5 linked regions of the Macaca mulatta genome follow. The protein of the gene in region 2 purifies or fractionates together with the protein of the main gene of each other region. This does not show direct contact. Links are inferred from orthologs where the notes say so. Each region holds a gene or a part of one and is shown on either strand. Other genes may lie near its edges.

Region 1 (5,565 bases), on a different chromosome or scaffold from region 2:
ATACCATGATTGATTTCCACTTATAGACTTTTAGCTCTTAGATTCCAGAATTATGTGTCACTGATCCAGACCTGACATATAGTAGGTACTTATGCAAGCTTGAAAACACAAATGAGAAACAGAAACATTGTTTTTACCCAAAGAAACTGGTAATGTAGCCCCTTGTTTTGTCCCACGCTCCCTGGGGCAGGTAAACGTGCAGGAAAACCCATTTATTTGCCTTCTTGTGGTTCCAGCTACAGCTGACTTGCTGTCATGTCATCATCTCCCTGGGGGTTGATTGGAATTGAAGGATATAATTTTGCAAGGTCCCCTGCCTCTAGTGCAAAGTACACACAGCTGTCCCAGAAAGGTGCCCACAGCTTCCTAGATCTGTCACTTTCTATAAAAGCCTGGTCCACTCAGAGTGGATATCTGGTTCAGAAGACAAAAACTCCTTCCAGCTCAGGTGTTGGGAAGAGACCAGAAGGTTAGTGGGATGGGCTTTGGTCTGGGGGACAGTAACTCAGAGTCAGTTCCCCGCTCCCCCTCCATAGAGGAAAGGACTTGCCCTGGAGGCACTCATTCCCCGTGCCTCTCTGATGTCTGAGCCCAGGGGAGCAGATTCTTGTTCTCTTAACCCCACACTGAAGAAGGAGCCCCCATAAGTGCCATGGCAGGCCCACCTGTGGCTCTCCCTTCCCAAGCACCACCAGGACCAGGTGCAGGTATGAGGCCCTAGGGCATTACCAGGGAGGGGCCAGCCTGGGGCGCAACCTCTGGCCTTAAGGGCATTTATTTCTGGGAGGAGCAGGACTGGGAGGAGAGTTTGAGATAAGACTGTGAGCTACAAATATAACTCCTCACGTACAGGCCACTTTATTGCTTTTTTTTTTTTTTTTTTTTTTTTGAGACGGAGTCTCGCTCTGTCGCCCAGGCTGGAGTGCAGTGGCCGGATCTCCGCTCACTGCAAGCTCCGCCTCCCGGGTTTACGCCATTCTCCCGCCTCAGCCTCCCGAGTAGCTGGGACTACAGGCACCCGCCACCTCGCCCGGCTAGTTTTTTTTTTGTACTTCTTTTTAGTAGAGATGGGGTTTCACCGTGTTAGCCAGGATGGTCTCGATCTCCTGACCTCATGATCCGCCCGTCTCGGCCTCCCAAAGTGCTGGGATTACAGGCGTGAGCCACCGCGCCCGGCCCACTTTATTGCTTTATAAAAATTTTCACCTTTGGCCAGGCACACTGGCTCATGCCTGTAATCCCAGCACTTTGGGAGACTGAGGCAGGTGGATCACCTGAGGTTGGAAGTTCGAGACCAACCTGACCAACATGGAGAAACCCCGTCTCTACTAAAAATACAAAATTAGCCAGGCATGGTGGCGCATGCATGTAATCCCAGCTACTCGGGAGGCTGAGGCAGGAGAATCGCTTCAACCTGGAAGGTGAGGCTGAGATTGCGCCATTGCACTCCAGCCTGGGTAACAAGAGTGAAACTCTGTCTCAAAAAAAAGAAAAAAAAAAATTCACTTTTAAGCACACCTTCCTAAAACTAGGTTTAAGTGTAACATGCCATATACATACAGTGTGCACGTTTTCAGAAATGTGTTCTCATTGAGTAAAGCAAGTTAAATTCACCTAAGGGAGCCCCAAAGACCTTGGTGCCCTTTTGGGGTGCACAGCCATGGGGCCCCATTGAATTACAAATCCAATCAGCCTGGCATATCCATCCCATTTTACTGACCTCTGCCCAGCAAGTAGATCTAGGCTTCAGGGATATTTCTTCCCCAAAACAGGGAGAAGAGAGGTGCTGCCATTATCCTCAGTGTTCCCCCTTCTCTGGAAGGCCAGGAGATTGGAGATCCTGGGGGTGTCCAGCCTGGTCGAGGTGACAAGTGGGGCAAAACCAAAGATCAGTCTCTGGCAGGCTATACCAGGTGCCGTGGGGAGGCGGGGCAGGCAGAAGCTGCATTCTGATCTGAGGTGGGTGGTGGGGCTGCCATTGGAGGGGGCTCTCTCTTGTTTTCATGCGAGGCGTTCCCTTCAAGGAGATCTCAGCAGGGAGTCGGGGTGTGAGCAGCCAATATTAGGGGGACTGTGTTCCAGGCACTCTTCCAAATGTTCCATAGGTGTGAAATTTTGATCCCCACAGCCGCCCCTTAAGGTGGATTCTCTAACCCAGTACACCCATTTGCACCCCCTCAGCAATTTTCCTGTTGATGTTTGCATTTGTTTCCTGTAGCTACCATGAGTTACCATGAACTCCATGGCTTGAAACAACAGAAATGGATTCTTCTGACCTATCCAGTAAGGCAGAAGTCAGAAATGAGTTTAACTGGTCAAGACCAAGGAGTTGCCAGTGCTGTGATCCCTCTGGAGGCTCCAGGGAGAACCTGTCCTTGATTGCTCCAAGCTCCTGGTGACTGCAGGCACTCCTGGGCTTGTGGCCACATCACTCCAATCTCCGCCTCCTTTGTTTTCACTTCTGTGGGTTTGGCTAAACTCCCTCCACCTCTCTCTTATAAGGATACTTGGGATGGCATTTAGGGTCCACCCCGATGATCCAGGATTCTCTCATCTCAAGATGTTTAACATAATCACATGTGTAAAGAGTCTTTTTCCAAATAAGGTCACACTCATAGCTTCTGGAGATTTGACATGGTTATCTTTGCAGGGATCATTTTTCAGCCTTCCACATTCTTCATTCAGATCACCTCTCTGTATTGTCAGACGTAAGTGTGCTTCCCACATCCTTTTTCAGGGAAGGACTTGCTGCCGGGTCACAGAAGTGTGGTCAGCAGTTGGCCATCAGCTCCTTCAAGGTCTGTCTCAGCGATAGAAAGTCAACTTGCCCGAGGGCTACCATTCTGGGGCAGTGCACTTCTAGAAATATAAAGCCCAGCCATTTCAGCCCCATGAAGGACATTCTCGGGGCAATATTCACTCAGAGGCCCCCACCACATTGACTGAAGCTTTGCTGGACCTGCAGTGCAGTTGAATTTCTGCCTCTGCCCAGTCCTGCTTCCATCTGGTTCCTCTCACAGGAAATGATTCCTAATAAACATCTTGCCCCCCCAAACACCACCTACTTCTGTAGAATGCAACCCATGACACAGACATTTCCATTTTTGCCAGTATGATGGAAGTGAAGTGGTCTTCCTCATGTTATTTATTTGTTCATTTATTTAGAGATGGAGTCCCGCTCTGTTTCCCAGGCTGGAGTGCAGTGGTGCCATCGTGGCTCACTGCAACCTTCACCTCCCAGGTTCAAGCGATTCTCCCACCTCAGCCTCCTAAGTACCTGGACTTACAGGTGTGCACCACTACACCCAGCTAATTTTTGCATTTTTAGTAGAGATGGGGTTTCACCATGTTGGACAAGTTGGTCTGGAACTCCTGACCTAAAGTGATCCACCCACCTCGGCCTCCCAAAGTGCTGGGATTACAGGTGTGCACCATTGCACCTGGCCCGTGTCCTTTATATTAGCATTTCCCTAGTGTACTGGATTTAATAGTGTCCCCGAAAATTCACATTCACTCAGAACCCCAGAATGTGACCTGCTTTGGAAATAAGGTTTCCAGATGTGGTTTTCAGATGTAGTCATCCTGGGTTAGTGTAGGTCCTAAGGCTGAGGAGCAGTGTTCTTACAGGAAGAATGTCATGTGACAATGGAGACCATGTGACAATGGAGGTACCTGCAAGCCAAGGACACCAGGGCCTGCCAGCAGCCACAGAAGCCAGGAAAGAGGCACAGCATCTCCTCTGCAAGGAACCAACCATGCTGACACCTGGATTTCAGACTTCAAGCCTCCAGAACTGTGACAGAGTAAATTTCTTTCTTTCTTTTTTTTTGCAGGGGTGGGGGGAACGGAGTCTTGCTCTGTCGCCCAGGCTGGAGTGCACTGGTGTGATCTCGGCTCACTGCACCCTCCACCTCCCGGGGTTCACGCCATTCTCCTGCCTCAGCCTCCTGAGTAGCTGGGACTACAGGTGCCCGCCACCACGCCCAGCTAATTTTTTGTATTTTTAGTAGAGACAGGGTTTCACTGTGTTAGCCAGAATGGTCTCGATCTCCTGACCTCAGGTGATCCACCCGCCTCAGCCTCCCAAAGTGCTGGGATTACAGGCATAAGCCACTGTGCCAGCCCTGTGAGAGAGTAAATTTCTATGTTTTAAGCCACCCAATTTGTGATGATTTGTTACAACAGCTCTGGGAAACTAGACACCTTGTTTCTAGTAAGGTTGGACATCTTTTCATATATTTATTGATCATGTTCTCTGAAATGATCTTTCCTTCCTTCTTCCCTTCCTTCCTTCCTCTCTCTGTCTTTCTCTTTTTTTTTTTTTTTCTGAGTCAGGGTCTCACTATGTTGTCCAGGTTGGTTTCGAACTCCTGGACTCAAGTGATCCTCCTGCTTCCACCTCCCAAAATGCTGGGATTACAAGCGTGAGCTACCATGCCCAGCCAAAATGATCATTTTTTTCAATGTAGAAAAACTTCTCCATCTCATCACATGAGAGTTGTCTTTCTAGTATCTGCTGACTTAAAAAAAAATCAATGTATTTATGGATCCCTGGCCCCTTTGCATAATTCTATTTATTTATTTATTTATTTATTTATTATTTTTATACACAGGGTCTCCCTCTGTCACCCAGACTGGAATACAGTTGCACAGTCATAGCTCACTGATGCCTCAAACTCCTTGGCTCAAGCGATCTTTCCACCTTTGCATAATTCTACAGCTTTCCAGGGACCTGCTTGCCCATTGGTTGGGAATCCTAACCTACGGGATTACATTTCAATCCTTTATGATGGACCTGAAGGTTCTTCAAGATCTCTCTTTGCCCATCTCTTCAACCTAATTTCTCTCCACTCATCCCATAAACATCCATGTTCCCATAATAAACTTCTTCCTTCTGGAACAGCCATTCTCTCACCTCTGGGCTTTGTCCTTGCTTTTCCTTTTCCCCAGAATGACACCTGTCATTTCCCTTCCTCTTTTCTCTCCTCTCCCTTCTATTACAATTCATGCCATCCTGCAAGACTCAGCTCAAGTGTTACTTCTCCTAAGAGTCTGCTCTGGTGGTGTTCTGTCCTTCTCCCTTGCCTTTTCCCATGCTGAGTTCGGTACTCCTTCTCCTTCTTTCTGTTCCCTTAGCACTCTGAGCATCTCTGAGTGGACCTCTTATTTGCTTTATTATTATTATTTTTTTTGAGACTGGGTTTTGCTCTTGTTGCCCAGGCTGGAGTGCAATGGCATGATCTCGGCTCACCACAACCTCCACCTCCCAGGTTCAAGCGAATCTCCTGCCTCAGCCTCCCTAGTAGCTGGGATTACAGGCATGTGCCACCACGCCTGGCTAATTTTGTATTTTTAGTAGAGACAGGGTTTCTCCATGTTTTTCAGGCTGGTCTCGAACTCCTGACCTCAGGTGATCTGCCTGCCTTGGCCTCCCAAAGTGCTGGGATTACAGGTGCCTCTTATTTGCTTTGTATAGATTTTCTGAGCACCTTCTATGCATGAGCGCAGTACTCTCACACTCTGTGATGACACACTCTGGAGATGCTGTCATGGGATTTGGAAAGT
Region 2 (6,306 bases):
AATACATGTGGAAGTGAACACATCTTTTAAAAAAAATCATTACATACTTTATTTTTTGAGAAGAAGGCATTTCAGCAGCCTCTTGAAGGAGCCTACTCTTCCCACTCTCCCACCCCCATTAAGAACCATTGTAGGACGGGCATAATGGCTCAGGCCTGTAATCCCAGCACTTTGGGAGGCCGAGGTGAGTGGATCACCTGAGGTCAGGAGTTCGAGACCAGCCTGGCCAACATAGTGAAATCCCGTCTCTACTAATAATACAAAAATTAGCTGGGTGTGGTGGCATGCGCCTCTAATCCCAGCTAGTCTACTCGGGAAGCTGAGGCAGGAGAATCGCTTGAACGCGGGAGGTGGAGGTTGCAGTGAGCTGAGATCGTGCCATTGCACTCCAGCCTGGGCAACAGAGCGAAACTCCATCTCAAAAAACAAACAAAAAACCCATTGTATTAGTGATGGAAATGTGTTCCCTCCCTCCCAACCTGGCAACCACTCTTTCTTCCTCCTCCATCATAAAATACCTTAAGCTAAACTAAACAAATTTTATTTATCGATAGTTTGAATTTTCCATATCATTGCTACACAGCTAAATGAGAGGTACTCCGAGGAAAATATAAATGGCACAGTAATGCATTGTAGATTTTAATAACATACTTGACATCCCAAATTGTTTCCATTGGCTTCATTTTAAAAACTACGTGTTTTAACATCAAGCAGACACTAAAAGTACAAGATATACTGGGTCTACAAGGTTTAAGTCAACCAGGGATTGAAATATAACTTTTAAACAGAGCTGGATTATCCAGTAGGTAGGTTAAGCATGTGCTTAAGGCATCAGCAAAGTCTGAGCAATCCATTTTTTAAAAACGTAATATATGTTTTTGAAAAGCTTAAAAAGTAATAGTCACAGGAAAAATTAGAACTTTTACCTCCTTGCACTTGTTATACTCTTTAGTGCTGTTTAACTTTTCTTTATAAGTGAGGGTGGTGGAGGGGCCCATAATCTTTTCAGGGAATAAGGTCTTCTTGATCTTTCTTTCTTTTTTTTCTTTTTTTTTTTTTTTTTTTTGAGACCGAGTTTCGCTCTTGTCTCCCAGGCTGGAGTGCAATGGCGCGATCTTGGCTCACTGCAACCTGCGCCTCCTCCTAGGTTCAAGCGATTCTCCTACATCAGCCTCCCAGTAGCTGGGATCACAGGCATGCACCACCAAGCCCAGCTAATTTTGTATTTTTTAGTAGAGACAGGGTTTCGCCATATTGGTCAGGATTGTCTCGAACTCCTGACCTCAGGTGATCCTCCTGTCTCAGTCTCCCAGAATGCTGGGATTATAGGCGTGAGCCACCGCGTCCAGCCTTTCCTTTTATATAATAGTGATAATTCTATCCAAAGCTTTTTTTTTTTTTTTTTTTTTTTTTTTTTGAATCGGAGTCTCATTCTGTCACCCAGGCTGGAAGGCGGTGGCGCGATCTCGGCTCACGGCAACCTCTACCTCCTGGGTTCCAGCGATTCTCCTGCCTCAGCCTCCTGAGTAGCTGGAATTACACACGTGCGCCACCACGCCCGGCTAAGTTTTGTATTTTTAGTACAGACGGCCAAAGCTGGCCTCGAACTCCTGACCTCAGGTATCTGCCCGCCTCAACTTCCCAAAGTGCTGGGATTACAGGCGTGAACCACCGCGTCCGGCTCCAAAGCATTTTCTTTCTATGCCTCAAAACAAGATTGCAAGCCAATCCTCAAAACGGATAATTCAAGAGCTAACAGGTATTAGTTTAGGATGTGTGGCAGTGTTCTTAAGTCTTATATGTATTAATATACAACAATTCATTTAAACTCACAACACCCCTGTAAAGCAGGGGGTACTCATATTCCCTTCTCCCTTTATAACTAAGAAAAATGCAAAGTATTTTCAGTAGGAAAGAGAAATGTGAGGAGTGTGTAGGAGACAGGACAATGTGTAAAGCGGGTCTTTGGATCACTGTGCAACTCTGCCTCTAGAACACTGAGCACTTTTTCTGGTCTAGGAATTATGACTTTGAGAATGTAGTCCGTCCTTCCAATGACTCCATCTCCATTTTCCTATCTGCCTACAGGCAGAAATCTCCCCCGTATTAAATAAACCTCATCTTTTCAGAGTCTGCTGTTATACCAGGCAATGTACACGTCTGAGAAACCCTTGCCCCAGACAGCCATTTTACACGTAGGAGGGGAAGGGGTGGAGAAGGAGAGGGTAGGCCAACTCTCCAAAAGGAATCCTTTGAACTAGGATTTCTGAGTTAGTGAACCCCGCGCTCTCGAAAATCAAGGGTTGAGGGGGTAGGGGGACACTTTCTAGTCGTACAGGTGATTTCGATTCTCGGTGGGGCTCTCACAACTAGGAAGGAACAGTTTTGCTTTTTCTTATGATTAAAAGAAGAAGCTATACTTTCCCTATGACACCAAACACCCCGATTCAATTTGGCAGTTAGGAAGGTTGTACCGCGCAGGAAGGAAACGGGGCGGGGGGCGGGGGGATTTCTTTTTTTCTTTTTAACTGAGTGAACGCACTCGAACGCGCCTTTGCTGGCAGGCGGGGGAGCGCGGCTGGGAGCAGGGAGGCCGGAGGGCGGTGTTGGGGGCAGGTGAGGAGGAGGAGCCCAGTCCTCCTTCCTTGCCAACGCTGGCTCTGGCGGGGGCTGCTTCCGGCTGGTGCCCCCGGGGGAGGCCCACCCTGGGGCGACTTCAGGGGTGCCACATTCTCTACGTGCTCGGAGTTAATAGCACCTCCTCCAAGCACTCGCGAACGGCGCCCCCCTGCCTGGAAAGATACCGCGATCCCTCCAGAGGAGTTGAGGGACAGAGGCCGAGGGGGCTCTTCCGCCAGCACCGGAGGAACAAAGAGGAGGGGCTGGCTGGTCACCAGAGGGTGGGGCGGCCGCGTGCACTTGGCCGCTGCGGAGAGTGGGAGAGCAGGGAGCGAGCAGCCGGGAGCAGCATGGAGCCTTCGGCGGACTGGCTGGCCACGGCTGCGGCCCGGGGTCGGGTAGAGGAGGTGCGGGCGCTGCTCGAGGCGGGGGCGCTGCCCAACGCACCGAATAGTTACGGTCGGAGGCCGATCCAGGTGGGTGGAGGGTCTGCAGCGGGAGCAGGGGATGGCGGGCGACTCTGGAGGACGAAGTTTGCAGGGGAGTCGGAATCAGGTAGCGCTTTGAGTCTGGAAAAAAGGGCTTCCTGGGGAGTTTTCAGAAGGGGTTTGTAATCACAGACCTCCTGCTGGCGAAGCCCTGGGTGCTTGCGAAGCCAAGGAAGGAATGAGGAGGCACGCGCGTGCCGATCTCTCGAATGCTGTGAAGATCTGAAGGGGGGAACATATTTGTATTAGATGGAAGTATGCTCTATCAGATACAAAACTTACGAAGGTTTGAGATAAAACGGGAGTCTTAAAGAAATGTAAGATGTGCTGGGACTACTTAGCCCCCAATTCACAGATGCCTGGATGGAGTTTATCTTTCTTACTAGTAGGGATTATCAGTGGAAATCTGTGGTGTATGTTGGAATAAATATCGAATATAAATTTCTGATCGAAATTATTCAGAAGCTGCCGGGCGCAGTGCCTCACGCCTTATAATCCCATCACTTTGGGAGCTCAAGGAGCGGGGGGATCACCTAAGAGTTCGAGACCAGCCTGGCCAACAGGTGAAACCCCGCCTCTACTAAAAATACAAAACTTAGCCGGGGGGTGGTGGCAGGCGCCTGTAATCCCAGCTACTCGGGAGGTTGAGGCAGGAGAATCGCTTGAACCCGGGAGGCTGAGGTTGCAGTGAACAGCGAGAGGGAGCCACTTCACTCCAGCCTGGGTGACAGAGTGAGACTGTCGAAAGAAAGAAAGAGAAAGAGAGAGATAAAAAAAAAAAAAAAGCATTCAGAAGCAACTACATATTGTGTTTATTTTTAACTGAGTAGGGCAAATAAATACATGTTTGCTGTAGGAACTTAGGAAATAATGAGCTACATTCATGTGATCGTGCCAGAAGTAATATGTAGTCACCATTTTGGGAATATCTGCTAATATTTTTACTGTTTTGCTATCTTTAGCTTACTTGATAATAGTTTATTTTGTGATAGAGTTTTCAATTCCTCATTTTTGAACAGTGGTGTTTCTCCTCTCCCTACTCCGGTTTTGTGAGGGAGTTAGGGGATGATTTAAAAGTAATTAATGCATGGGTAACTTAGCATCTCTAAAATTTTGCCAACAGCTTGGACCCGGGAATTTGGCTTTGTAGTCCTAAAATATCTTAGAAGAGACCTTATTTGTTTAAAAACAAAAAGGAAAAAGAAAAGTGGATAGTTTTGACAATTTTTAATGGGGAAGGGAGAAGAACATGTAGAAAAGGGGAAGTGTTGTTGGCTTAGAATCCTAACTACACTGGTGTTTAATATAGGAACACTTATTTGTATAATATTTTTAAATGCTAAATTCATATCAATTTATTATCAAATGGGTTTAAGCATCCTACACATTTTAATTCAATGAATTCATTTTCTTTTTGCTTTGGATTTATATCATGATTTAAATATTTACATATGGGTTACTTTTTAGGTTTTTCATTCTATGAAATATAATAAAAACCTTTAAGGCTAGTTTTATGACCAAGACGAAGAGAACTTCAGTGAACACACGGAACAATAAATATGCTGCAACATTTTGTCTTTCTTTTTGTAGCTGCAATTTGGTTTGCTTATACTTTCTCTTTGTCTCTTTGAAAACTAAGTCAGTTTCACTTTCTCAGGACAGCATTTAATAACCATAATATAATTTAGTATAATTCCTTGATTTAGGCAAATTATGCAATTTGTGTTTAGTATGAAATGTACCTAAAAATAAGTAATTCCTCTTTAACACAACCATCCTCAAGCTAATATAACAAATAACAGTTATCCTAAAATAAATTGTTTATTTCCACCATGCAACACTCAAATTTTAAGGTTGCTATGACTGGAGACAGTATTTTAAAATTCCTCTCTGGAAATGGCTTTGTTTCCAAGATGATTTAGGAACCAAAAAGGTGACCATCTCTTGTTTAATGAACTCTCAAATCATAAACCTGGGAAGCCTTTTCGTTTCCTATTGCTGCTGTTACAAATTACCACAAATGTGTTAGCTAAAACAAACAAAATTATTATTTTACAGTACAGTTCTAGAGATCAGAAGTCAAAAATGGGTCCACTTTGGGAAACTCTAAGGGACAATCTGTTTCCTTGTCTTTTCCAGCTTCTAGTGACCATCAAATTCCTTGGCTCATATTCCCTGTATTTTCTCTGTGGCCTGTGCTTCCATTCTTTTATCTTCTCTCTGACTGTGACCCTCTAATAAAAACACTTGGGGTTCTATTGGGCCCACCCTGAAAATTCTGGATAATCTCCCTCAAGACCATTACTTAAATCACATCTGCAAAGCCTCTTTTGCTACATAAGTTAATAAATTAACAGTTTTTGAGGATCAGGACATAGACATTTGTGGGGGGGGGGACCTTATTCAACCTACCACAGGAAGGAATTTTAGGGCTAGTCTAGCATTCTTATTTTATACTTGAAGAAATTGAATTTTTGGAATTGGAGAGCATTATGCTAAATGAAATAAGCCAAACACAGAAAGACAAATATCACATGTTCTCACTTATCTGTGAAATATAAAACAAATACATTCTTAGCAGTAAAGAGTAGAATGGTGGTTGCTGGAGCTGGGGAGGGGGGCAGTGGGAGGAATGGGGAGTGGTAATCAAGATACAAAGCCTCAGTTAAGATGGAAGAAATAAGTTTGATTTTTTTTGAGATGTGTTTCACAGCATGATAAATATAGCTAAATAGTAAATCCCAAATGCTCTCATTTGACAAAAATATCAAATATTTGAGATGATGGATGGGTTAATTAGCTTGACTTAATTCCACATTGTGTTCAAAGATCATAACTTCATATTGTACCACATAAATATATACAACTGTACTATGCCAATATGTAATTTTAAAACTAATTTAATGAAAAAGAAATTTAAGTTCAACGTTCCCAGAAACTAAGGGTAACTTAAAAGTTTTGTGAGAATTTGTTTAAAAAAACAAACAAACAAGTTTTCTCTTTTTAACAATTACCACATTCTGCGCTTGGATATACAGCAGAGAACCAAAAAAAAAAAAAAAAAAAAAAAAAAAAAAATCTCCAGGCCTAACATAATTTCAGGAAGAAATTTCAGTAGTTTTATCTCAAGGGAAATACAGGAAGTTAGACTGGAGTAAAAGTCAGTTTGTCCCTGCCCCTTTGCTATTTTGCCCATGCC
Region 3 (5,565 bases), on a different chromosome or scaffold from region 2:
TCTCAGACATGGCAAATATGTACGTCTTACTCCGTGCTGTGTCCACTGGTTTACCTCATATGATTCAGGAGCTACAAAACCACATCCATGATGAGGGCCTTCGAGCAACCAGCAACCTTACTCAGGAAAATGTGAGTTGTGTGGGGAACTGCAGTGTTTTCCTCCTAATCAGATCCATCGTGGAGTCTTTCCTTTGACTTTACTATTTTGAAAGATGAAAGAAAAAGTCTTACCATGCCAACAAAAGAAATGTCTTTATTCAAATGTTTTAAACCTAGAGCTTGTTGGACTCATTTTGGAATTATCAAATTATTAGAAAGCTATTGATGAGATAGGCTGCTGCTTAGCCATACGGAGGTGTCCATTGAACAGTTGTTAACTTTTCACAGAAAAATAAGCTTGCCATTTCTAAGTAACTGTGTTTTTCTGTAATTGGCGTTGATAACATTGTTTGTTGTCATGGTAGTAGTATTAATCAGCGGTAATATAGACAACTTGTAATTTTCCTCCTTTCCATATTCTGTGAATTTGGTTGTCTAGTAAGCAAATTTAGATTCAAATAATCTTCTGTAAGTATATGCTTGCTGCCCCAAATACCGGAAACAATAACCCTCGTGTCCCTAATACTCATCTTCCTTGAGTACTTTACCAATCACATGACTGTAACAGTTTGTCTTTCCTATCACCAAATCTTGTTATTACTGGTGACGGTTGATGAGCAAGAGAGACGTAACTTCAACTGTTACTATCTCTTCTTAAGTAGAGCTGTTTGACTTAATCTGTAAGGTAGTATCTGTCACGCCTGTAATCCCAGCACTTTGGGAGGCCGAGGCGGGCGGATCACGAGGTCAGGAGATGGAGACCATCCTGGCTAACACGGTGAAACCCCATCTCTACTAAAAATACAAAAAATTAGCCGGGCATGTTGGCGGGCGCCTGTAGTCCCAGCTACTCAGGCGGCTGAGGCGGGAGAATGGCGTGAACCCGGGAGGCGGAGCTTACAGTGAGCCAAGATCACACCACTGCACTCCAGCCTGGGTGACTGCACAAGACTCCGTCTCAAAAAAAAAAAAAAAAAGATAGTATCTGTGTGTATGTGTGTAGCCGTCACTGTTCAGGAGCACTTTTTAGAGGCTGTTACCTTAGCGACAGATTGGTCTTTGGCAAGTAATAATTTTTAGTTTTTATGTTCTGCCACAATCATGTGTAAGTTTACTATTTTTTAATTTCTTCAAATTCCTTTTACCACAGTTTTCTATTTTTGTAGAACTATTAGTTTGTATTATGCAGATTTATTACTCTGTATTATTTGTCAAACTTACTAGTTTATGTTATTACGTTTATAGATTCCATGTCCAATGACATGGGGCATAGAAGCATAGAATTTTGTGTCAAGGCTGGGAGATGGAAACATAAGTGAATACATTTGTAGTAGACTCAAATCCAGCTGACTTAGTTAAGTCTTAGGTAGTAATTTCTTCATGGTTATCTCCATTAAGAGGGAAAACTCACTTTTGCACTATTAGGTATTTCTTCTCTCTGAGATGTGAGGGATTGTCTTGCTGAGTTCAAGGGGTCTCTGTTCTCAGGGTTACTGGCTTTTTAACTCTCCTCTCTCTCAGCCTTCAGTGACTTTGCAGGCAGTCTTTGCTTATATAAGCCTCTATGAAAGTGATAGACCTGGTAATTCAGGTCTTGTTATCCTTAAGTTATTCCAACACAGTAGAAAAGTATGCTTTTGGTGGGTTCTTCTGGCAGGTACTAGACAGTCTATGACATTAGCTTGTTGTGTTGAATGACAAGCTATTTTCTTTCTTTTTTGTTGTTTTTTTGTTTGTTTGTTTTTTCTGAGACGGAGTCTTGCTCTGTCGCCCAAGCTGGAATGCAGTGGTGCGATCTCTGCTCACTGCAACCTCCACCTCCCTGGTTCAAGTAATTCCCCTGCCTCAGCTTCCCGAGTAGCTGGGATTACAGGCGCATGCCACCACGCCTGGCTAATTTTTTTGTATTTTTAGTAGAGACAGGGTTTCACCATGTTGGCCACACTAGTCTCGAACTCCTGACCTCAGGCAATCCCCCTGCCTCCCAAAGTGCTGGGATTATAGGCGTGAGCCACCACGCCCGGCTGACAAGCTATTTTCTTTCTTTTTTTTTTTTTTTTTTTTTGAGACGGAGTCTCCCTGTGTTGCCCAGGTTGGAGTGCAGTGGCCGGATCTCAGCTCACTGCAAGCTCCGCCTCCCGGGTTTACGCCATTCTGCCTCAGCCTCCCGAGTAACTGGGACTACAGGCGCCCGCCACTTCGCCCGGCTAGTTTTTTTGTATTTTTTTTTGTAGAGACGGGGTTTCACCGTGTTAGCCAGGATGGTCTCGATCTCCTGACCTCGTGATCCACCCGTCTCGGCCTCCCAAAGTGCTGGAATTACAGGGTTGAGCCACCGCGCCCGGCCGACAAGCGATTTTCAACACCAAAGTTTTAAATTTTTAAAACCACTTTCTGAGAAGTGTGCATGTGTAAAACATAATTTCCTTGAGGAAAAATTTACTCAAGTCTAATAAACCTAGTAGTTTGTACTTGAACCTTTTAAAATGTGGTTTTGTACTTATATTTCATGTTTTTAGATGCCAACACTATTTGTGGAGTCAGTTTTGGAAGTACATGGTAAATTTGTTCAGCTTATCAATACTGTTTTGAATGGTGATCAGCACTTCATGAGTGCGTTGGATAAGGTAAGTTTTAAATACGTATATACTATATATGTACATAAAGCTCTGTCATTCTTTAGGCAGTTTCAGGATTAGACTCCTAGTATGAGATTTCTGACCTAGACATGGAGATTAAATATGAAATTCAAAATGGAAATAATATAACTTTTAAATTATTAACTGAATAGTAAATTGAATGCTTGTAGAATTTCCCATGATTATGCTATATAAGGGGAATTTTTAATCTGATATCTTCTGGATAGACATGCATAATTTTACAATTTTTAGTACTGATTTTTTTCTTTGGCCATAATACTTAGGCTATATTGAATAATATTTGAAAAGAGAATAGATATGTTTTACGTGAACTTTTGTATACTTTAAAGGAAAGTTACTTACAAGATTGTAAGTTTTTTTTTTTAAGTAGTGTTATTTTATCTGTTCAAATTTTGGTAATGAGTTACAGAGTATCTTGCAATAGCAACAAGATGTATAGATATTTTGTAATTAGAGAATAAAATCAGAGGAGTCCACTGTGTTAGGTGCGAAAATATTAACAAACTACTGGCAATGCTGTGTCGTATGTGGCGGGGTAATTTTGGATGTATGGATTATGGCTTGTATTGAACTAGCTGTACTTTTTCCCTATGGCTGGTGGTTAATTATGGCCTGTTTTTTATGTAGGCCCTTACGTCGGTTGTAAATTACAGAGAACCTAAGTCTGTTTGCAAAGCACCTGAACTGGTAAGTTTGGTGTTTGCTGAAAAGTAATCTTATGAAAAGTCAGTATTAGAACATGAAAACTGAGAATATCAAATTAATTTGGTTTTTGTAGCATTTTTCAGAAAAACAAAAGGAAAATTATCTACATTGTACATAGTTTGGCATTTATGTAAGGAATGCAACATACCGTGTGTCTTTTCTTAAAAAATAATCATTTTACAAAGTTTGGGTTTTAATGTATGTCTATTTTGAAATAATTTTAATACTTTTCATGTAGATTGTTATATCTGAAATCTAAAGGAAGTCTGATGATAAAGTTTGGGTAACCTTTGAAGGAAACTTGCTTACAAGGTTTTTGTAACTTTTTTTAAAGTACTTATTCAATGTCAAAAATTATAAAACCGCTCGAAACTCACCCAGGTGTTCTTTTAAAAATTTATATTACCCATATCAGTTGCTTTATTGGTCAATAAGTGATAATTCGATATTTGACTTGTTCTTTTAAAAAATATACCTTATGATGTGTATTTTATTTAGGTTACACTTATGATTATTACATAAAGCTTTAGAAGCCTGGTGTGGTTGTGCATGCCTATAGTCCCAACTACTTGGGAGGCTGAGGCAGGAGGATCCTTTGAGCCTAGGAGTTTGAGGCTGCAGTGAGCTATGATGTTGTCCATTGCAATCCAGCCTGGGCGACAGAGCAAGACCCAGTCTCTTAAAAAAACAGTAAAAACTCTGTCCACTGATCTTATCTTGTATCACCACTTTGCCTCCTTTGAGGCATGATATATACAGAAGCACCCTTTGTAAGATTTATTATCAATTTCTACATGAGCTTGCTAAGTACTGTGACAACTTACTGAAGAAGTCGGCGAAAGGGATGACAGAGAATGAAGTGGAAGACAGGCTCACGAGCTTCATCACGGTGTTCAAATACATTGATGACAAGGATGTCTTTCAAAAGGTATGCTGTGAACAAAAAAGTTTCATTTGTGTTTTGGTCAACTTTATTTCTGAATGCTAAATCATTAGAAAGGAAGTGATCTTTTAAAATATTTTTAAATGCAGTTCTACGCAAGAATGCTGGCAAAACGTTTAATTCATGGGTTATCCATGTCTATGGACTCTGAAGAAGCCATGATCAACAAATTAAAGGTAATATAAGTCTTTAATCTGGTACTGTCCTAGAAATTCACTCACAAGCGTATAAAGATGTTCATTGCAGCATTGTATGCAGTAACAGGAAACAATTCATCCGGTTAAATGTATATTTTTATATTCACACAGTGGGATATACAAATACTATATTAAAAGGACAAAGTATGTATGCTTATATATGAAGATTCACTGGATAATCAGTATTAACGATAAAAGATTATTACTACTTTAAATGAATACACCTAAAATATTCCTTTAAGTACAAATTTTGGAGTGCAATTCCATTTCAATTTATTTTTACATCATTTCAGCTTGCTTGCACACCGATAAGTGGTAGCAGGTTCTTATTTCTCCTGCGTTATTCAATAAATTTTCCTGCATAGTAGACATTTTGAATATAATATGCACTCCTTTTTTCCTTTTTCTTTTTTTTAAGAGATAGGATCTCACTATGTTGCCCAGGCTGGACTCTAACTCCTGGGCTCAAACGATCCTCCCGCCTCAGCCTCCTGAGCAGCTGGGACAACAGGTGTGCACCACTGCACCCAGTTGCTATGTGCTCTTTTTGAAACCTGCAAAAAAGAAAAAAAAAAGCTTAGTTTTTAATTTCTAAAAGTAGAGTTGGCCAGGTGTGGTGGCTCACGCCTGTAATAGTAGCACTTTGGGAGGCCAAGGCAGGTAGATTGTTTGAGCTCAGTAGTTCGAGACCAGCCTAGGAAACATGGCAAAACCCTGTCTCTACCAAAAATACAAAAGTTACCTGGGCTTGGTGGCTAGTCCCAGTTACTCAGGAGGCTGAGGTGGGAGGATTGCTGGAGCCTGGGACATCGAGGCTGCTGTGAGCCATGATCACACCACTGCACTCCATCCTGAGTGACAGAGCAAGACCCTGCCTCTAAATAGATTAATTACCAGAAAAATAGTAGTGTTAATGAGCTTTTATATTTCAAGATTAGAGATTCAGATTTTCTAACCTG
Region 4 (5,565 bases), on a different chromosome or scaffold from region 2:
ACATTCTGACCACTGGACGTTAAGCAACGTGAAGGCAGGACCTACGTCTGTCGTTTGCCAACATAATTCCTAGCACCAAATGTATACTCTGTGTGGCACATTTGGGATTTCAGTAAATATTTGTGAATTAATAAATAAATAAGATTACAATGTGACCAAAAAAAAATGGAGGCATTGTAGGAAGATCACCATAATGCTAACTACTTGCCTTCTTTCAACGGGAAGGGTTTTTAATTTGTCAAAGTGATTCTGGAGGACGAGAACATTACATTTCAACAGAAAAAGATTATCAGCACCATGAACCAGTGCAGCTCTCAACTATCCCGTAACTTACCTTGATTCGTGAACTAGGGTTAAGCATGATGTATTTAATGGAACCTTGGATGTTCTCTGTCCAGGAAACCAGCCAAGTAACCTTGTTATCATGTCGAACCTCTTTCCACTTATGTCCTGGAGGAGGAGAAGGAACCTTGGCATCTCTGGAAATAACAGAGCAAGAGGATAGTGAAATGAGATGTGAGGAATAATTTCACCTTTCATGACCTCAAGTGGACATATATGCTGAGCATATTTTTCCAAGTTTCCTTCTTAACAGTCAATATAGTAGTCCCATCTTATTCATGGTTTTACTTACCCTCAGTCAACTGTCATCCAAAAATATTTAATACAAAATTTCAGAAATAAACATTTCGTAAGTTTTAAACTGCACATTATTCTGAGGAGCATGATGAAATCTCTTGTAGTCCCACCTGGGACACGTGAACCATATATACAACATATCCATGCTGTATACGTCACTTGCCCCGGGTAACTAAGGCGCTGCCTTAGTTATCAGGTTGACTATAATGGTTTTACATTGCTTGTGTTCAAATAACCCTTCTTTTACTTAATAAAGGCCCCAAAGTGCGAAAGTATTGATGTTGGCAATTTGGATATGCCAAAGAGAAGGTGTAGAGTGCTTTAAATGAAAAGGTGAAAATTATCGACTTAATAAAAAAAACTGTATGCTGAAGTTGCTGAGATCTAAGGTAAAAACGAATCTTCCATCTGTGAAACTGTGAAGAAGGAAAAAGAAAGTCATGCTAGTTTTGCTGTTGCACCTCAGACTGCAAAAGTTATAGCCACTGTATGTGGTAAGTACTTAATAAAGATGGAAAAGGCTTTAAATTTGGGGGTGGAAGACATCAACAGAAATGTGTTCCAAGTGACAGCAGTTGGGTCGAAGTTTCAGGTATCCACTGGGGGTCTTGGAACATATCCCCTGTGGATGAGGGGAGACTATTGTACCTCAAAAACATCTGGAGACCTATGCATGAAATACTGTCCTGCTCTTAAGTATCTCCTTTCCCAAACAGTCCTGTGTAACCTGGGAAATATTCCCAAGTACAATAAAGGACACCCTCCACCCCCTTTTTGGCCCACAGGATGAAGTGCGAGCTCACTTGCTACAGTTGATGATTATATCCTCAGGCATGATTCGTCTCTTCAGCATGCCCATCTTAGGGTGGTTGCCCCGGCCACGGAAAAGCCCGGGAGGCTCTATCTTGAAGTTAGCAATCCTCTCTTTGTGGTTATCCATAATACAGAAGCCATATTCTTTCAGTAATTTTTCATTCTCCTCTTTGATTTTCTGGAAGACAGCCAAGAAAGTACTCAAAATAGATTCCGATGCTGTTCTCTACTAATACATTTTTATCTCTTGTGGGAGACTAGGTCAAGATAGAGAAAAGTCTGAAAATGACTAAAAAATGAATTCAAATAAAGGAAAACCTCTAGTGGTTTTCTCAAACTTAAATATCATAAAATTCCCCAAAAAGATCTGCCTATAAGGATTGATTTCAACTAGATTCAAAACTGATTCCTGTGTCTTAAAGGATATATGTTTATAAATGTTGTTTGGGTGTTTTTAAATGTACTTTAAAAATTCGTACTATTTTATTGAGTACTATCAAAACAGGAAATGGAGAGGGGTCTCTGATAGAGCCTCATAAAAGAATAGCTCGAGCCATTTAATTAAAACAGCAGTTAAACAGCTAAAAACATGGGTTTTAAAGTCCAGACAGATCTGTCACTAATTTTTTTGTAGGTATACAGGTTAAATGCTCTATACTATGATCCTTGCTCCAAAAAGGTGGGGTATGGTGGGCAAGATTTTGAGCCTCCTTACCCTCTATTGACTCTTTTTATATACTTATTGATTCAATTTAACTAAGCCCTGCTGCCTTGTGGGTGGGAACAGACCTTGCTGGCAGCAGGTGTCCTTGCAGGGACTCTGACAAGGGGATGTTTATAAAATCTATCTTTGGATCAGTATTCTAAGAACAAAGCTCCAAAGTGATCTTTTAAGTTTCAAAATGCCCCGATGTAAATAATATACTAAATTTCACTAACTTGGAATATTGAGGATAAGATTTACCTGAGACAGAAAGTCTGATGCAATTAACATTCTTATAGTAACACATTAATTTTTAAACTAGTGGCCAAATAAGTACCATGAAACAATGAGTTATATAAATACAATGGCCTGAATTATATAAACATGCAAGTCCTTCAAAATACTGAAACTACAGGAATTTGAAGTGCAAAAAATTCCTTAAAATCCTTAACTTCTAGACTTCCGATTGGAAAAAATGAAATTCTAGCCTGGATTCCTTTAGTTAGGGGCTGACAACTTTTTCTAGATAGAAAATATTTTAGGCTTGAGTGCCACACAGTCTCTTTTGCAACTACTCTCTTTTGCAACTACTCATCTCTGTCATTGTTGCATAAACACAGCCATAGATAATATGTAGAAAAGTAGGGGCAGCTGGTTCCAATAAACTTTTGTTTTCTTTTTTTTTTTCTTTTTTTACAAAAACAGGCAGCCTGTAGAAGAAAAATGACATCCCAGCTGGATACCAGAAAAATTCTTCAGTAATGAGGATGGCCAAGGCTGGAAGATGGAGATGGATGAGCACTGCAAGATTCCACAGTAAAACAGATAAAAGAACAGGAAGGTATATGGCCAATATGATTTCATCTGTCTTAAATCCTTAATATCCAGTAGCCACTGTGGGACAGTTCTGTCCATCCTTAATTACTATATTATTGGCTGGAGTTACTGACTGGTTTTTAGGTCACTGAAGCACCAGGGTTCCTATAGAGAGCTACTGAGCAAAGTACTTATTCACAATTTTCAGTCTAACTAAAACCTTTAAGAAAATTTAGACTTTGAGAATTCTAAGTCTTTAGCACAGAATGATGTGAAATTACTGATGTTAAGTGTTGTGTCGTAAGAACCAAGAAGAAAATTAAATGAACCAATCACGATTCCAAAATTCTCCAGAGGTTTAATAAATTCTGTAGTACCAGTTTCTCTTCCTTGCTCATCTGTTTCCGAGCTTCCGACTGGGCTTTGAAATACTGGCTCATCTGGGTAAAATCACATTTGCTTAGGTTGGTGATAATATTCTTCTCTTCATTAGTCATTTCCTAGTCAAAAGAAAACAGGGAGATGAAAGAAAAACAACTAAACTACACTAGTAAGTCCTTGGGTTTCTTTGCGAATATACCCAAGCACCATTTTTTCAGTCAAAGGTTTTTCGAAGTAGCCAATCTCAATTAATGAATTTTGAAAAAACAAAAAAACACAGAATAAAAAATATTTCTTTATTATAAAATATGTATTTAATAATATCAAAATGTTTTAAAATGACTTATCATGGAAAAAAATGAACTCTTATGTGGTTTCTTAGACTCCGTGGCACACTGTCCCCAGGCGCATGAATACAAGTTTGGAATTCCATACTGATTCTCTCTTAGAAACATTACCCCTATTCTATTCATTTATTAAATTTGCTTTTCAGAGCTAGTTCAGGAAGTAAACTTTACTGCTGCCTCTGTCCACATTATCCAAATTGAGAATAATGAGATTTTAAAAAATCACCTAGGCAAATATAGTATATGTTGTTTCAAGAGTAGAAAGTACCTAGAACAAATGAGCAAGAATTAACAGGGAGTGAACAGGGAGTGGGACATCAGATTAACATTTCTCTTTGCAACAGCAGACACTGGGCAGTCCTGCAGAGACAAACTTTCCTATGCGCAACTAGAGTTGAGGTTTTCTGTTTGGCCTAATCTCATAACCCCCTACCTGCCATCACATGACAGCCGATAGCAAAGATATACGAGTATTCTTTTTTTTTTAAGACGGAGTCTGGCTCTGTCACCCAGGTTGGAGTGCAGTGGCACAATCTCGGCTCACTGCAAGCTCCGCCTCCCAGGTTCACACCATTCTCCTGACTCAGCCTCCCGAGTAGCTGGGACTACAAGCACCCGCCATCACACCCGGCTAATTTTTCTATTTTATAGTAGAGACAGGGTTTCACCATGTTAGCCAGGATGGTCTCAATCTCCTGACCCTGTGATCCACCTGCCTTGGCTTCCCTAAGTGCTGGGATTACAGGCGTGAGCCACTGCGCCTGGCCGATATTCAAGTATTCTTATTGGACCGAAACCCTACATAATATAGTAAATGAAGACAAAAAGTGCACAACTTTAAATACAGCAAAATCCATAAAACTCAAAATTTTACATCAGGAAATGTTTTGCAAAATAATTTATTACTTCATACTTGATTGTTTTGCAAGCTACTAAGATATTAACACACGGGCTACAGTACCTTTCTCCAGTCTTTAAAGAAATTTTTCCTAAATATTTCCTTAGTAGTATATTCATGGTCGAGCATTTTTGCAAAGAATGTAGCTACTTCTTCTGCTTTGGGGCTCAGCTTCATGACTTTACCTAGAGAAAAAAGTGGTTCCAAAAAGTGAGGTATAGTATTCATGTTCTAAGTATAAATACCCAGGGCTAGCGAATTCTCTTTAATAATGGTTTGCCTTCTCATGGTATATAAAGGTCTGGTGACACATAGTAACAACAACAACAAAGACAACATACTGATTTATATCTACTTGTACAAATTCTCCTTCCTTTAGCATATATTTACCTGGGTCATTCTCTGGAGACTATGCCAGTTAATTGTTCCCAGGTGCCTGCTCAGGACAGGGATGACCTGGGGGAGGCCCAGTCACTCTTCCTTTTCCTTTCAGCAAGCAGGGTCCTTTACACCTCTTCAATGGTTTTTAAAAATCAAATCCTCAGAGGGACTCCTGCCACTGCTAAGCTAAGCAGCCTCTGTTCAAGAAGGGGAGGAAGGGATAGGGCAGGGAGTGGAAGAAAGGAATTGTGGGGAAAAGAAATAGGCATCTTTCTTCTTCAAAGTTAGGTGGGTGGAATATGAATAAAAAATATATATCCATACTAGGCAAGCCCAGATTTCCCATATGAAAAGCCTAAATAAGACCTTCTTCTAGAAGCTTGCTATTCAACAGTGGCTCACAGACCAGCAGCACTGGCATCACACTGGAGTTTGTTAGAAATGCAGAATCCCAGTCCCCCTCCTAGACCTCCTGAATCCTATACAGAAATTGCATTTTAACGAGACTTGGATGCACACTAGAGTTTGCAATACACTGCTATGGAACAAGGGTACCATGATGCTGCCTCTTTCAGGGAACCAGGATG
Region 5 (5,565 bases), on a different chromosome or scaffold from region 2:
CACTACAAAAATAGGAAGAGTATAAAAATAGAATATATTACGTCACTATTTCGTCTTCTCTTTATAGTAGCGTATCGTAGGAGTGGGACAGGTGGCCTTTCCCAACCCTGCTACGCTGGCTGGTGCCCGACAAACCTCCACTGGGATGGTGGTCACAGGTGCAAAGGACATGCACACGGGCACGCTACGCTACGGTAACCAAGAGGTGACTTCAGCCATGAATAAGGTGAAGAGGTTACACATCTACCTACGGAATATAATAACATACAATGACTTATAAAGTGACTACATGCATATGAGCAAGCAAAGTACAGAGATGCCTAGAACCACACTACAGCTGCGCTTTTCAGGAAAAGCACAAGAATACGTTTTGCTACCTAAAACCCTCTTCTACTTTAAAAATGGTTTGCTGAATTTTTCTATGTTTTAAAAATGTTTTTACGCTTTCTTTTTTAACACGTAAAGGATCGAACCTAATCCTCTCCCGAGACTCCTGCTTTGTGTTAATGCCTATTCTTACAACAGAGAAACAAGTACATTAATGTAAAAACGAGTTGATTATTGGGGTATAAAATCCTCTATTGTCTGTAGCACAGCCCTCCTCCCCCACTGCTCAGGGTTATGCAAATACTATTTTTTTTCTCTCTCTTTTAAAGACAGTTTGGGGTAATCTTTTTCTTTTGCTTAAGTCAGAGATGGAAGGGAGGAAGAGCAAAGGAAAAAACAACCAACAACAAGGAGAATGGAACTTTCCCTTCTGGTATCGAAATGCTCCGGAGAGGAGGGACTGTCAGGGGAGCACCTGGGGCCGGTTCCGCCCTCGCTGTGGGTGGCGGTGGCGCCTGCCTGCCTGGCGCCCTCAGATGTCCACATCCCGCACGTCGGTGGGTGTGCAAGCCAGGTCCACCTCCTCCTCCTCCTCTTCCTCCTCCTCGGCGGCCTTGGGGTCCATGTTCTGCTGGGCCTGGCGCAGGCTTGACTCCAGCAGGGCTTCGATCTGCTCCTGGCAGGCCCGGAGGCAGTCCTGAGAGAGACGGAGTGGGGAGAGGTGGGAAGAGGGGGTCCTTAGAAGGGGCCTGCGGTGAGGGCCCCCTCCCAGGTGCCACGACCTGGAAGGCCTCTATAAGAGCAAGACTAAGTAAAAAACTGTCCCTTGACCCATGCCGCCGCCTCTGAACCTGAGCGAGACGTGGGAGCTGCCATCACCTGTCAGTGAGACACTCAGGACCCAACGCTTCCACCTCCCACCTGGCCTCCGGAGCCACAAGACAGCAGATGCTTGCCCGCCCACCCTGCACCCGCTCTGCCCATCCCCAAGCTCAACAGCTCCTTGACCTTCTGTTCCCACTGGCCCTGCCAGCTCCCTGGGGAATTCAGTGCCATCTGATCTGGACAGACAGGCCCTTTCAGTCCTGCCTTTTCAGACAGCCTCTCCGTGTGGCAGCCCTCCAGGTGAACCTGGCCTTCCATGATCAACGGCTGTCAAAGTCTCAGGCCGTGCATGACTGAGGATGAATGCTGGGTGCCCAGGGGGACCTGGACCCTTGATCCCTCACCTCCATCCTCTCCCGCTCAGGCCTGTGCCCCGGGGCCACCCATCAGCCTGGCACAGCATGCATCCACCCGCTGCGGCCACAGAGGTGCTCGCCCTCGGGTGGAGTGCAACAGAAGCTCCTGGAAGTCCTGCACCTCCGCCCTCCGGGTCTCCAGACCCCCTTGGCGGCGGCCGCACCACACCGTCAGTGGGAAAGAGCAGCCATGGAATCCGGAACCCCGCGCCCAGCCGGGGGCCTCTCCTCAGCTCCAGCACGGGCAAGTCCCAGGCAGCCCGAAGCGGCTATCTCCTGTGCGGGGGCTTCTGGATAGAGAACTGGCTTCATGTGTTGGGGCTGTGTGTGTCCCAACTGCCAGGAAGCCACAGTAGGGCTTCAAGCCGAGTCTCTAGGCAGCCCAGGAAACAGACTTTCCACAAGGAGCAGGGCTGGGCCACAGCCCCAACAGGTGCCACTGAACTTCCAACCAGATGGGGGTGGACAAAGGCAGGGCATGACAGGCGATGACCTAGGCCAGAAGGACTTTTCAGTGGACCCCTGGGGTCGTAACATTTTAGCGTCCTGTGACTATAGGGAGGGCTTTCCTCTCCCGCCTTTCAGATAAATTCTCATCATGGCAAATGAAGCCGGCTGGGCTGGCAGCACAAACAGTCCCACTGTACAGATGGGGAAACTGAGGCCAGAGACCTGGGGTGAGATCCAAGACTCCTGATGTTCAACCTAAAACACCAGCCACCCTCAGTTCCCAGCTCCAGGGGCCTGGCAGCTCCACCCACGGACTCTTCACCTGCCGTCCGCCCCCCTCACCATGACCCGCTCCAGGGTCACGCATGCAGCTGGACTCCATTTCCCTCATTCCTCTGGCCCCACAGCTGCCTGCAAGGCTACCCTGGTGGACAGAGCTGTTCTCCCACAGCCAGAAGCTCCAAGGAGGCAGCACGCTCCTCCACGAAAAGTCACTGGTGTGTGGCCCTGTGCACCCGATTCACACAGATGGACATTCCACCCACCAAAGAAAATTCTAGAACACGCCCTAGAAAGTGCAGGGGGCCTCTGCTGTGAACGGTTTTTCTGAGTCTGGGCTCAGCTAATCAGGCAGAGTGGACTCCGCCTCAGGTAACTTCACCCCGTGTGTCAGCTGTGAGCGTGTGCCTCCCATCTAGTTCAGATGGTCTCTACTCAAATAAGGGCCAGTGCCCAACTTCCCACAACTGCCCAAAGACAGCAACATCCCGGGCAGATACCCCTGGCGGGGAGGCGGTTTCCACTCAGGGCGTGGAGTTGGAAATGAAAGTGCAGATGCGAGTTTCATTTTGACGGAGGGGCTTTCCCTTTGCTGGGCTTCTGGAGGCCTTGACGGCGTTTCTGAACCATTTTCCTGAGAGAACTGTGGGCTGCTGGCCTCCACCCTACAGCGGGTGAGGACACCTTACCACCCCCACAGGATAACACGGGGCAGGGTGCAAGGGAGGCCACGGCCGAGAGCACAGAAGGGAGGGGAGGGCGCCCCTGCCACCTCCAGTATCCCATGGCAAAAATGCTTCTTCCTCTTCCGAGACACACATGGGCTGGGCAGCCGCTAGCTGCCTAGAGGCACCGCTAGGCAGGGGACAGGCAGGTGGACGCTAGATAGCATCTGCTGAGACCCGTGCGGAGCCCCCGGGAGGCTCGAGGGCAGACCCCCAAGAGGCGGCCCAGGCCAGAGCCACAACGGGCCTCGCAGGCCCAGCCGGCCCCAAGCTGGGGTCAGGCGGTCACTCCCTCACACACCGCAGGGCCGGCGGCTGACCCGGCCACCTCTCTGGTCTAATTTGGTAAATGCCACAAACCCTTTTGATTGTCATTTTAATTCTTTCTTTAAGAAAAGAATCGGGAATAAAACAATGGCATTTTGAAGAAGAAAGACACAGTCATGCCAGGGTTTAACGGCAGCAGCCTCTCAAAGAGCCGTAAACAAGGCCGTCTCTATCCGCCCGTTGTCCGGCGTCTCGGACCTCACAGGAGCCCTTTTCAAGCATCTATTTATTGGCCACGCACATTGTGGCCCAAACAAAGCTCGCCTGGGCCTAACCCCACACACTATCACCACACGGACCATTGGCTGGGGCCGCCTGGGGCCGTCGTCCTAGACGCTTCGCCCAGAAACACTCTACAGCTCCTGGAAGCCCCAGGGGACATGAGCAGCCTGTGAGGACCTCCCGACCGGTCAGTGAGTTCTAGGAGCAGTGGAAGAAGCTGGTGCCCTGTCAGTCTGTGGCTTGGGGTCCGAGGGGCCCAGCCCCAGCCCCAACCCCAACCTTGTCACCCTTGCACCAGCCTTGGCATTTCCGTGGCACTAGGCGTCTCCTGCCTGTGAGCCCCGGCGAGGCTCCCTGGGACACTGCCCTCACTCACCGGGTCACACTTGATCACTCTGGAGAGGAAGCGTGTGAGGCGGTAGTAGGACAGGAAGTTGTTGGGGCTCCCCAGGTTCAGGCCTTGCACTGCGGCCACCACGCTCCCTGCTGCCACCATGGAGGGTGGATTGGAAATGAACTTCACATCTGCAGCAGGAGAGAGGGAAGGGGGCTGTGAGCAGGGGACCCGTGATCTGGGCATCCCCACGTGCTGGCTCTGAGCAGGCGGCCCGGCCTGGTGGGTACCACTCTCCAGGCCCTCCCCAGCCTCCCGCCATCCCTGGGTACTAGGAGAGCAAGAGCCCGGCCCAGGGACCCTCCAGGAATGTCAGCCCCACTGTTGACTCAAACATAACCAAGCAGAGAGAAAGCCACGGGAAGACAGGACAGGTGACAAGGACATCACTACCCTCTCATCCTTTCAGCATCTTGAGCCTTGTGAATGTTACCACTTATTCACAAAAACAAAGTTAGACGACACAAATATGAGGACACAGAGATGTCGCCTCTATGACCCTAAACCTTAACCCCAAGTACGTGCCACCCCCCAGCAGCAGGGATTGGAGACAAGTCATATTCTGAAGGGACGTTGCACGGGGCCAGGCCATGGGGCTGCAGGGCATTGATGAAGCCATTCCCTGTGTCCATCGAGGGGCAAGCCCTGGCCGGCAGCCTTCAGGGTGGCCGTGATGGTGTGGCTCCGGCTCAGGCCCTGGCGTCAGGAGAGCCCGGCTTGGCTCACTCGGGAAGGAAGAGCTGTTCCAGCAACCCATGGCCCTTACCGTGGGACCACGACTGTCACGGTGACCTTCAGAGCACGGACCAAGTACACCCCAACTCCACCCAGGGCCCTCTACTCACAACTCTACTTCTGGCCGATGACAAAAACGCTTCTCTGGGCCACTTGATGTAGCCCAGCAATTCCAGCGACTTCCCAAGTAAGGGAAGAGGTGTGGGGTTCCTAGCAGCAGGCACTATGGGACACCCTTGGTGGACTGGGCCAGGAGCCGGGTCCCAGGAGGGAGCAGCTTTCCCAAGAAGGCACCAATCCCCCTACTTGGGGCTTCCTGGGGACTGTCCCGCACATCTGGGCCTACTTCCAAGGGGGACACCAATCTAGGGCGGCCCATCAGCCTTTGTGGTCTGCACAAAACTCCCTCTGGTCATTGTCAGATACTGGGACTCATCTGCCTGCCAGGCTGCAGTAGTGGGCATCTCAGGGCCTCCATGACTGACCTAGACAAACAGCAGACCAGCTCTTTCCATAGAGAGCCTCGCCACCAATCACGTCCCAGTGTGTGGCGGGGAACTCCGGCCTCCCCTCCTCAAGCAGTCATGCACCTACCGTGGACAGGTGGGCCAGCGTGGGATGTGCCTCTCGGCCTGGCCCCCACCCCAGCTCCACTGGGGGTAGCCCTTTGTCACACCCACGAGGAATTCTGCATAGGAACCAGGGGCCCTGGGCTGGGAGCTGGACGTCAGCAGGGATGAGTGTGGCATCTTTGTCGGCCCCATCGCCTCATCTCGCGCCACTGAGCGCCCGGGAACAAGGGGGGTCGGGGGAGCTGAATGGGAGCCGACCCAGGCACAAAGGGAGAGGGGCCCCCACGGGCCGC

The links.
Region 1: the proteins of CDKN2A (region 2) and CDK5RAP3 purify together in Homo sapiens (affinity purification with western blotting; 3 studies listed by BioGRID). This does not show direct contact. The link is inferred for Macaca mulatta from reciprocal best matches to the Homo sapiens genes CDKN2A and CDK5RAP3.
Region 3: the proteins of CDKN2A (region 2) and CUL2 purify together in Homo sapiens (affinity purification with western blotting; 3 studies listed by BioGRID, with this or other methods). This does not show direct contact. The link is inferred for Macaca mulatta from reciprocal best matches to the Homo sapiens genes CDKN2A and CUL2.
Region 4: the proteins of CDKN2A (region 2) and TOP1 purify together in Homo sapiens (affinity purification with western blotting; 3 studies listed by BioGRID). This does not show direct contact. The link is inferred for Macaca mulatta from reciprocal best matches to the Homo sapiens genes CDKN2A and TOP1.
Region 5: the proteins of CDKN2A (region 2) and CCND1 purify together in Homo sapiens (affinity purification with western blotting; 3 studies listed by BioGRID and IntAct, with this or other methods). This does not show direct contact. The link is inferred for Macaca mulatta from reciprocal best matches to the Homo sapiens genes CDKN2A and CCND1.

The regions. Positions count from the first base shown.
Region 1 is NC_133421.1:62,061,224-62,066,788, reverse strand, and holds part of CDK5RAP3 (CDK5 regulatory subunit-associated protein 3), read left to right. Parts: intron 1-1,772; 5' UTR 1,773-1,913; intron 1,914-2,218; 5' UTR 2,219-2,223; coding exon 2,224-2,283; intron 2,284-2,737; coding exon 2,738-2,798; intron 2,799-3,627; coding exon 3,628-3,803; intron 3,804-5,565. UniProt on the Homo sapiens protein: Substrate adapter of E3 ligase complexes mediating ufmylation, the covalent attachment of the ubiquitin-like modifier UFM1 to substrate proteins, and which is involved in various processes, such as ribosome recycling and reticulophagy (also called ER-phagy).
Region 2 is NC_133420.1:77,237,864-77,244,169, forward strand, and holds the start of CDKN2A (cyclin-dependent kinase inhibitor 2A), read left to right. Parts: upstream 1-2,651; 5' UTR 2,652-2,969; coding exon 2,970-3,095; intron 3,096-6,306. UniProt on the Homo sapiens protein: Acts as a negative regulator of the proliferation of normal cells by interacting strongly with CDK4 and CDK6. This inhibits their ability to interact with cyclins D and to phosphorylate the retinoblastoma protein.
Region 3 is NC_133414.1:36,431,050-36,436,614, reverse strand, and holds part of CUL2 (cullin-2), read left to right. Parts: intron 1-6; coding exon 7-131; intron 132-2,620; coding exon 2,621-2,728; intron 2,729-3,388; coding exon 3,389-3,448; intron 3,449-4,265; coding exon 4,266-4,394; intron 4,395-4,498; coding exon 4,499-4,585; intron 4,586-5,565.
Region 4 is NC_133415.1:93,963,077-93,968,641, reverse strand, and holds part of TOP1 (DNA topoisomerase 1), read right to left. Parts: intron 4,783-5,565; coding exon 4,661-4,782; intron 3,472-4,660; coding exon 3,349-3,471; intron 1,631-3,348; coding exon 1,443-1,630; intron 480-1,442; coding exon 335-479; intron 1-334. UniProt on the Homo sapiens protein: Releases the supercoiling and torsional tension of DNA introduced during the DNA replication and transcription by transiently cleaving and rejoining one strand of the DNA duplex.
Region 5 is NC_133419.1:5,006,937-5,012,501, forward strand, and holds part of CCND1 (G1/S-specific cyclin-D1), read right to left. Parts: intron 4,122-5,565; coding exon of another isoform or gene 4,097-4,121; coding exon 3,948-4,096; intron 1,025-3,947; coding exon 860-1,024; 3' UTR 1-859. UniProt on the Homo sapiens protein: Regulatory component of the cyclin D1-CDK4 (DC) complex that phosphorylates and inhibits members of the retinoblastoma (RB) protein family including RB1 and regulates the cell-cycle during G(1)/S transition.